Yarrowia lipolytica: one gene and its partners. The protein of the gene in region 1 interacts with the protein of each later gene in a pairwise test. Links are inferred from orthologs where the notes say so. Each region holds a gene or a part of one and is shown in the gene's direction. Other genes may lie near its edges.

Region 1 (3,693 bases):
ATGTACATTTCCGGAGAAATGGGTATGCCTGAAATATGCATGATAAAGTGCGACCAGTGCGGATACAAGAATACATTAAAAGGGGGAAATTGCAGAGCTACGTGATCTGCTGCTGTATTATCGGCTTCACCGGTACGACAAGTCAGGGGGTATGTGTTTTAATAAGACCCAAACGTTTTATCGTCTTCTTCTGTGGCATATTCCTGACATTACACATTGGTCAATATAATGATACATGCAGAGCACATACAGTAACATCAGACACACGCGCGCCTTATACAAGTATGTACAGGACGAGGGTACGATACAACAGCTTCCCAGGATTCAGCACATGTTTCTGTTATCATACACGCTTCATAGTGTCTCAAAATGTCTGCAATCTGCGTTTGTATCCTCTTCCCTCTTCAGCTCATTTCAAACAAACACTGTGCGAGTTTACCTCTCGAAACGCGTCATTTGTCAAAGTTCAGACAGACCGTGTGATGGAGATGGAGGAGAGCCACCAGGAAACTGACATTTCTTACTCCCTCTGAGATGATTGGAAGGCTCGATTGATGTAGAGTTTTGTGGACCAACTGCGAGGGACAGCTCATTTCGCGTAGAAGATGCTGTATGTTCAGATATTTATGTTGGAGAATGATTGGGTCTACATAATTCACAGCAGTTCTTTTTAGAAAATTCTAATGATTTTTCACATATCTTTAATTTTTTTTTAATATATCTTTATTCTAATGGTTTTTTTTTTATATACTGTAATATTATATATTTCTTTTCCAGCACTCTACAAGCTCATATATTTGGTCAGTTCGATTCCCGTCTGAATCATTTTGATAAACTCTAGTTACCAAATATTCTGCATGAGCTCACCTCCGAACTTTCTCACCACTATCATCACACACACGAAAACATCATGGCGTACGTCAAAGGAGGAGTTTGGACAAACGTCGAGGACGAAATCCTGCGGGCTGCCATCTCCAAATATGGTCTGAACCAATGGGCGCGAGTGTCGTCTCTACTGGCTCGAAAAACAGCCAAACAGTGCAAGGCTCGGTGGACCGAGTGGCTTGATCCGACCATCAAGAAAATCGAGTGGTCGCGAGAGGAGGACGAGAAGCTGCTGCATCTGGCCAAGATCTTTCCTGCACAATGGCGAACGATTGCCCCGTTTGTGGGGCGAACTGCACACCAGTGCATTCAGCGATACGAGCGTTTGTTAGCTGAAGTTGCTGGCGAGGTGGAGGGCGAAGACGCTTCTGCGGTGGCATCTGCACCCGCCACTGAAGGTGACCAGTTTCCCGAAACCAAGCCTGCCCGGCCTGACGCCGTGGACATGGACGAAGACGAGAAGGAAATGCTGAGTGAAGCGCGAGCTCGTTTGGCCAACACTCAGGGTAAGAAGGCGAAAAGAAAGGATCGAGAACGGATGCTAGAGGACTCGCGACGGCTCAGTCAGCTTCAGAAGCGACGAGAGCTCAAAAATGCAGGAATCGACACTCGACTGAGTAAAAGGAAGAAGAATGAGATGGACTACAACGCCGATATTCCCTTTGAACACAAACCGGCCCGTGGCTTTTACTCAACTGCCGAGGAGGAGCATGAAAACGACTCGGAGCGTCTTCAACACAAACAAATGCACCGCACAGCTGCGGACGCACCTGGGCCGTCACAAAAGCGAGACAAGGCAACTTTGTCCAAGGAGGATGAGGAGAAGAAAAAGGAGCAGCAAAAGACGGCGTCTGCTCAGCGAACACTTCAACTGGCACAGTTGGACTTGCAAGATCAGATTTCCAAGCGACGAAAACTGAATCTTCCTGAGCCACAGATCCAGGATCAGGAAATGGAGGAGATTGTGAAGCTGGGAGCTCAGGGTGAAGCTCTACATAAGCGGTATGCAGACGGAGTGGCGTCAAGCTTGTCGGGTGATTACGATGACAAGATTGTGGACGACTCCATTCGAACTCCTCAAGTTCAGCAGTCGAAAGTAAAGACTACAATCGAGGAGATCAAGGCCATGGAGAACCGGTCTGTGCTTGGTAAGAGAACCGAGGAAGAGGTCGACGACGAAGCTGAAGCTGATAAAGATGGATTTGCAATCCCCAAGCTGCCTTCTAACAAGGCTGTCACTAGTGTTTCTGCTGGATCCGATATAGGAGGAGCTACTCCTGCTGGGATGACTCCTATCAAGCGGGACGCTCTGGGTTTGGTTGGATCTGTCGAAGCTACTCCTGTTTCTATTCTGCGCCAGAAACTGGCCTCTCTTCCTAAGCCCAAGAACGATTTCGAAATCACTGCGGAGGACGAAGAGGAAGATGAGGAAGCTGATAAGGAAAAGAAGCCTACAGATAACTTGCCAGTTGATAAGGGCGAACAAGCTCGATTGAAAAGAATTGCCGAGGAGCAGGAGCGACAAGAAGCTCTCAAGACTCGTTCTCAGACTCTTCAGAGAGGTCTTCCCCGGGCTACTGTTCCTGAAGTTACTTACAATGATGCTATCGGTCAAGAAGTAGTTGCTCTTCTCAGAGAGGAGGAGCTTAGGTTTCCCAATAAAGGCGATTCTGTGGCTCTAATGCAGTCTGAGTTCTCTCTCGACGACTTAGTGGATGCCGAAACTTTGATTGAGATGGAACTGATGGAGGGCGATGAGCAAGAAGTGCAGGAGGAGGATATTAAGACGGCTGCTCTTCCTGGAACAGTTGCTCGTTCCGACGAGTCCGAGGAGGAGTTCAAGACCCGTGTGGAAATCATATCCGACCAGCTTGTTGAAACGCTAACTTCTCTTGCGGAAACTTGCCAGACCGAAGAGACTGCTCTGGTGGACAAGTTTAAGGCGTATGCCAAGCGCCAGGCTACTTTATCTAAAAAGCTGACTTCTCGGTGGTCTCAACTTGAGTCTGTTGAGGTCGAGATTGCCGTGTTTTCCGAGTTAGCCCGCATGGAGGAGATTGCCATTGAGCAGCGAAGCGCGGCTCTGCAGGAGGAGGTTGACTGGCTCGTCAAGAAGGAACGTGCCGCGCAGGATAAATACCGTGAGTTGAAGGTTAAGGAGCAGGCCGCCAAGGGTGGCCATTAGGAGTCGATTAGTTAAGTAATTATTTATTGTGCATTTTGAACAGCTGATGGAGCAACAGGGCTGGTGAAGGCCTCTGCTCCGGGGTGCTCCTGCGCTCGGGTAGATACAGCACAAGTAGGTGGATCCTTCCGGAAGTGGCGATCCGGGTCGTTTAGTACTTTTTAGTGGGGAAGTGGAGAAGTTCTAAGCGAATACGTTTGTATACTTATTGACTATATGAATGGTGGAATGAGGAACGATTGCGGCAGCAGATGATGCACTTGTGATCTATTAAGACGTCAATCCTCCCCCTACGTGTGTGCTATCAGGCTACTGTTCATTTGGCCCCCAGTCAAAGTGCGCCAGAGGTTGGGCTCGACGACTATCATCGCTAGTACATACTTGACGTCTACATTTCTAATCCTATCTCTGGTCTAAAAAGATTTTCCGACAGTCGATTTATAATACAAGAGCTACGAGTATGTATATAACTACGTATATACTCGTGTAGAAGCGGACCGGAGGCGGGGACTCAACGTACTAATTTGGACTGACGAAGTTGGAGAAGCTGTCGTTGAGGAGTGAGACGTTGCGCAAGGCTGCAGATACTTGAGAGCATGTCATTATATAAGACTCCACAGTAT
Region 2 (2,618 bases), about 1.2 Mb from region 1:
CAGATCATCGTTGACAGCCATGACGTTGGTCTTCTTACCAAACTTTCGAGACCGGGCGTTGGGGTACAGACGTCGGTAGTCTTCGGGGAAACAGGTTCGGAACCGGTCCTTCAGATCAACTGCAGTTCGGTTGTTGAATCGGAAACGGGGGTCAGTCAGAATCTTCTTCCAGTTGCCCACCCCGTGCACCTTGCAGCCCTCCATGAGATCGGCAGTCTCCTCCTGGGTCCACCGAAGCCGCACACGTCGGGTAGTGGCAGCAATACGGTCAGAAGCCTCTCGATCGGAAACACGTCGGTCACCGGGAATCAACACCGAAGTCAGAGGAACCTTGTCTTCAATATAAGTGTTGATGTAGCTGGTATCGTGCTCTTGGCTCTGCTGATGCTGTTGGCTGTGCTGCTCCAGCATGTCGCCCACGTGGCGGTCGCTAGCGTTCTGCTGGTCGTTGGATGCATTGTTGTTTCCGTTGGCCTCCTCCTCTTCCTTTTTGGCCTTTTCAAAGTCGTCCAGAATGCCAGAAGCTAGGAGCGAAGCGTCCAGCTGGACAGCGGCGGCAGCCACGGCCTCGGTGTTTTGTTTCTCCTTGTCCTCCTTGTCCTTGTCGTCATTATCGTGGCTGCCATTGTGGTGCTCACTGTACTGCTTCATAATCGCAGGGTCGATGCCCACGTGATCGCCAAAGTGAGACATTGTGGTTGTGTGTTCGAATCCTGCACAGCTCCCAATAAATAAACGCTAAAACCGGTGGGGTTCCTTTTAGAGTTGAAGTCACGTGTGTAACCTTAAACAAACGAATGAAATCAGTCCCACGGCAAAAAAGTCTTCAACGACAACGACGGTGCGCTTGAAAAAAAAAAACCTGCGTTAGTAAATCGGACAAGTGGTGCGACAAGCCGTGTGTTTGCGACGTGTTTTGGTGTGCTGGTGCCTCCGCTCTCTCTCTGTTTCCTCGGTTGTTCCTTCTCTTCATGATCACATACCTTGAAATGTCGTGGTAAGGGGTAGGGCGAAGGGTTTGTTTTTGGGGCCAAGGACATTTATATGATTTTGAGGAATGTCGATAGAGTTCGAGAGGGTAAGTTGGAGACGAATGGAAAAGGCAACATGGAGGGGATAACAGGCCGCTTTTCAAAGGTCTGAAACCCGTATTGAAAAAATAAATGGAGTCAAGAGGGCATTTAAACTGAATCTGGCAAATTTCTGCTCAATTTTCCCATCTCAAACAGTCTGTTTTCCACCCACACTCGCCCCAGCACGTGAGCTCGCATACGTCATCACCATGCATATTTGCCCACTGTGCAGGAAAAGAGCAGGGTGTTGAACATTGAATCTAAGGCCGGTCAAGTAAATTTATGGCATTGACCAGCTCCCCCACCATACACACAAAAGGCCGCCATCAATGTCGCGGAACTCGGAAAAGCAGGGCAGCATGTTGCATCGGTTCCAGCAGCAACAAGCCAATGCTGCTGGCTTGCTGGACGTTGGCCGCACAGTTCGCCCAACATACATCTCTGGAGTGGAGAGTCTCCCCCAGGCTGAGAAATGGAGATCTCAGGTCATGAAGGAGATTTCCAGAAAGGTGACCAAGATCCAGGACCCGGCGCTGTCTGACTTCCAGCTCAGAGACCTCAATGACGAAATCAACAAGCTGATGAGCGAACGGCATCGATGGGACCTGCAGATCCGAAGTCTAGGAGGGCCCAATTACGCCTCGTTTGGAGGAAAGAAGCGAGGTTACCAATACTACGGACGAGCTAGAGAGCTTCCAGGCGTGTCCGAAATGCTGCAGTCGCAAAAGAAGGACGATACCAAGAAATCCGGTGACTTTTACATCCCTCCAAAGAACCTCAATATGGTGTACTTTGGCTACGCCGATGATAATGTCACGGGGCTGATGGAGTTTGAGAAACAGAGAGAATCTGAATTACAGGATATGCTTGCTGGAAAACCAGACGAAGATAGTGGTTTCGTTGTCGGAGATATCACTGTTCCCGAGGAGGGAGATTTGGAAGCACGATTACTGGAGGAAAGGAAACGACGTGTGCAGGCTCTGCTAGACTAGACTGATAGCGCAAGATCTGTCGCTATCGCTGTACATCCTGTATCCCGCGCTCTGGGGACGTTCGTGTTATACATACTGTACATTGTAAATTATATAGCCAATATTTATTACCATAACATTAGTAACATTAGTATGACCTACAAGTAAGTAGTGTACTTGTACTGCGAGTACAACTGCAACTTTTTAACCTATCCAGCAGGCTATCAGCCCTGTTTATGAAACAAGTTGAAGTAAGAAACAAGCCATTCATCTACGAGTACTGTATGTACTTGGGTGCTGGACTCATGACATACCCTTCCCCAATACAAAATGTCAAGATTTTTTTATCTTCGGCTACAAGTATGTATAGGTACTTGTACGTACTCTACTCGAACTGTAACTATCTCCATGATTACATCGACTGCAACTTCATATATCCATGGAAACATTTCTCTCATTAGTCAATCATGCATTGTTTATGTAATCGTGTAGTTTTACTCTTCATCATTTGTGTATCTGGAAGATTGGGACGAAGCCGTACCTGGTCGCCGGGGGGTGGGAGAATCGGGTTCCT
Region 3 (2,591 bases), on another chromosome or scaffold:
AGTCTCTTCGATCTGCTGAGCTGAACCTTCTCAAACGGGAGAAGGAGCGGCTGCAGCTGTCTCATGACCGTGAGATTGAACGTTTGAAGCTGGAGATCGAGAGCGAGAGACAGCGGCGTCTTGATTCCGAGAACGAGCTGGCCCGTGGACGACGTCGGGAGACCGAGCGGCATGCGGAGTCTCGTCACGACTCTTATCGAGACTCTTATCGAGACTACGAGCCTCATAGACGACGAGAGTCTGGCGACAACGTTCGAGTCAACATCAACATTGGCTCCGACAGTGGTTACGGAGGCAAGGACCCTGCCCTGGTGTCTCTTGCTCGTCAGAAGATCGAGATGTTTCTGGCCAACGAGCGGTATCGTAGGTGTGCCGGGTCCATGACGGGAGCTGCACATGATGACGAGTACAACCGGCTGCAACTCTATCTAGTTGACTCGATGGGTGTCGAGCATGCTCGCAGGATTCTTACCATGTTGACCCGTCAGCTCGGTCAGCCCGTCACTGCTCTGCCCAATGAGATTGACAAGCTCGTTGGCAACAAGGAGGTGCTCAGAAAGTCACTCGAGTTCATTGACGACGTGGTTCGGTACTCTAACAACGATCCTGATGGCCCTGGAATTCGAGCAGAGCCTGGATCTATTCAGTGGTCTTCCAACCTCAACAGTGAAATGAGTCATCTGAAGCGTACATTGTACAAGTCGCACACCGGGAGGAGATTGAGGTATTGATGTGGAGGAAGCTCTTTAATTTATATTCATTATTATGTCATACCATGTGTTATTTGTAGTTGTAATGTAGAAGTACTGTAGTTGCCCAATTACTGCTTTGTTCAGTGCTGTGCTTCCTCCCCACTATCTACTAACCCTAAACCTGAATATCGATATCAGGATGCAGACAGAAATATCAAAGTTTGTAGTTTAGGAAATATTTGACGGTGAATTCACCATCATCATCACACATCCCCATGCAAACGACCAAGTCAGACACCAACAAAATCACGTGGGAGGACACTGAGGTGCCTGCAGTGTGCACCCAGTGTCTTGGTGCCAACCCCTACATTCGAATGACTAAAGAAAAGTACGGTGCCGAGTGCAAAATGTGTACAAGACCTTTCACAGTGTTCCGGTGGCAACCAGAACGTGCACAAAAAGGCTCTTCTCGAGGAAAGCCGCTGAAGACGAACGTTTGTCTTACTTGTTCGCGACAGAAGAACTGTTGCCAGTCGTGTTCTCTCGATCTCACATATGGACTGCCGTTGGCTATTCGAGATGCAGCTTTGAAAATGGAGCAGGAGGGAGGCGGCGGGGGACTCTCTCTGAGCTCATCTTCCAACACCATCACCAAGCAGTTTATTGCTCAAAACTACGAGGAGCAACTGAAGCAGGATCAACGACTTCTTACGGACAACTCAGTCACTGGTACAGGCAAGGCTCAGAGTGCAGCCAAGGGACTGTTGAAGCAGCTGGCTAACGCCATGCCGTACAGAAAAGAGCTTTATGAAAAGGGCCAGAAGGATAAACGGCCTGCTGACAGCCGCGACAGTAAGGCTCTGACGGCCGATGTCACCAAAATTGCATCCAAGCTTCCTCTGACGGGCAGTACAACACCTGTGCCCAAGGACGCCTCTATCAAGAGCTTGTTTTTCATGGGTGTAGAGGACGATCTTCCAGAGCACGTGATCAGAAAGCATTTCACGGAGACTGGAGGAACCATCTCTTTGTTGACGGTTGTACATCGGGCTCATTGTGGGTATGTGGTGTTTGAGACTCGAGCTGCTGCAGAGAAAGCTGCTGCTGCCATAAGTGGAGGACGACTAGTCCTGAACGGCTGTCGTCTTCGTGTTGCATGGGGTAAGCCTCGAAACCTGGGATCGTCCTCAGACGAGCAGTGGAAGCTCGGCCAGATGATCAAAAAGTATCTTCGAAGTAAGGGCGGAAGTTCTAACAAGGACGGAGCTGCTGGGCGAGATGAAGCTGCGCCCCCTCCTCCTGGTCAGGGTATCAAGTACCAGAGTCAGGGCAACATTGAGTTGTAGGGCTGGTTAATGACTACTTGTACTCACTATGTAATTATTATTTATTCAACCACACAGTTAATTGTTCTTCATTGTATAAAATAGTTAGTGTACATGGTGTTTATGATTGTATCTTGTCTATCTGGTATGATACCAACATTGACCTTCTGCTTAACCGTAAGTGTCGTCAAACTCCTCCTCGCTGTCAGGCTCGATCTCGGCCTTGGCTGCCAGATCCTTTCGACACATGGGGCAGGTGGCATTCAGCTTGAGCCATGGAGCGATGCATTCCAGATCAAAGTGGTGCTTTCTGTTGCATGGAAGTCGCACTACCAGTGGAAACTCATCCTCCAGGTACGGCGTGGAACAGATGGCGCATGAGTCTGACTCCTTGAGCTGCTTCTTGGGGACACGATCCAGGGTGTCAAGATACTCCTGACCCAGCCCCTTGGGCTTGGGGGCTTCACCTGTCTGGAGATCCAGTCCGTCGATGAACTGGACGAAGAAGTCGATGATTTCGTTCCTGTCTAGCTGGCGGATCGCCCGCTCGAAAGCAGGAACGTATTCTGGGCCG

Evidence for each region. The genes of interacting proteins can lie anywhere in the genome.
Region 2: the proteins of YALI1_D25370g (region 1) and YALI1_D13679g interact in binary tests that used the Schizosaccharomyces pombe proteins (3 or more experiments, as listed by UniProt). The link is inferred for Yarrowia lipolytica from reciprocal best matches to the Schizosaccharomyces pombe genes cdc5 and cwf12.
Region 3: the proteins of YALI1_D25370g (region 1) and YALI1_E40144g interact in binary tests that used the Schizosaccharomyces pombe proteins (3 or more experiments, as listed by UniProt). The link is inferred for Yarrowia lipolytica from reciprocal best matches to the Schizosaccharomyces pombe genes cdc5 and cwf5.

Annotation. Positions count from the first base shown.
Region 1 is NC_090773.1:2,536,112-2,539,804, forward strand, and holds YALI1_D25370g (uncharacterized protein), read left to right. Parts: upstream 1-910; coding exon 911-3,070; downstream 3,071-3,693. UniProt on the Schizosaccharomyces pombe protein: Involved in mRNA splicing and cell cycle control.
Region 2 is NC_090773.1:1,366,740-1,369,357, reverse strand, and holds YALI1_D13679g (uncharacterized protein), read left to right. Parts: upstream 1-1,402; coding exon 1,403-2,065; downstream 2,066-2,618. Other genes in the region: YALI1_D13686g (uncharacterized protein), read right to left, coding at 1-693; YALI1_D13611g (uncharacterized protein), read right to left, coding at 2,539-2,618.
Region 3 is NC_090774.1:4,013,408-4,015,998, forward strand, and holds YALI1_E40144g (uncharacterized protein), read left to right. Parts: upstream 1-967; coding exon 968-2,038; downstream 2,039-2,591. Other genes in the region: YALI1_E40097g (uncharacterized protein), read left to right, coding at 1-731; YALI1_E40161g (uncharacterized protein), read right to left, coding at 2,189-2,591.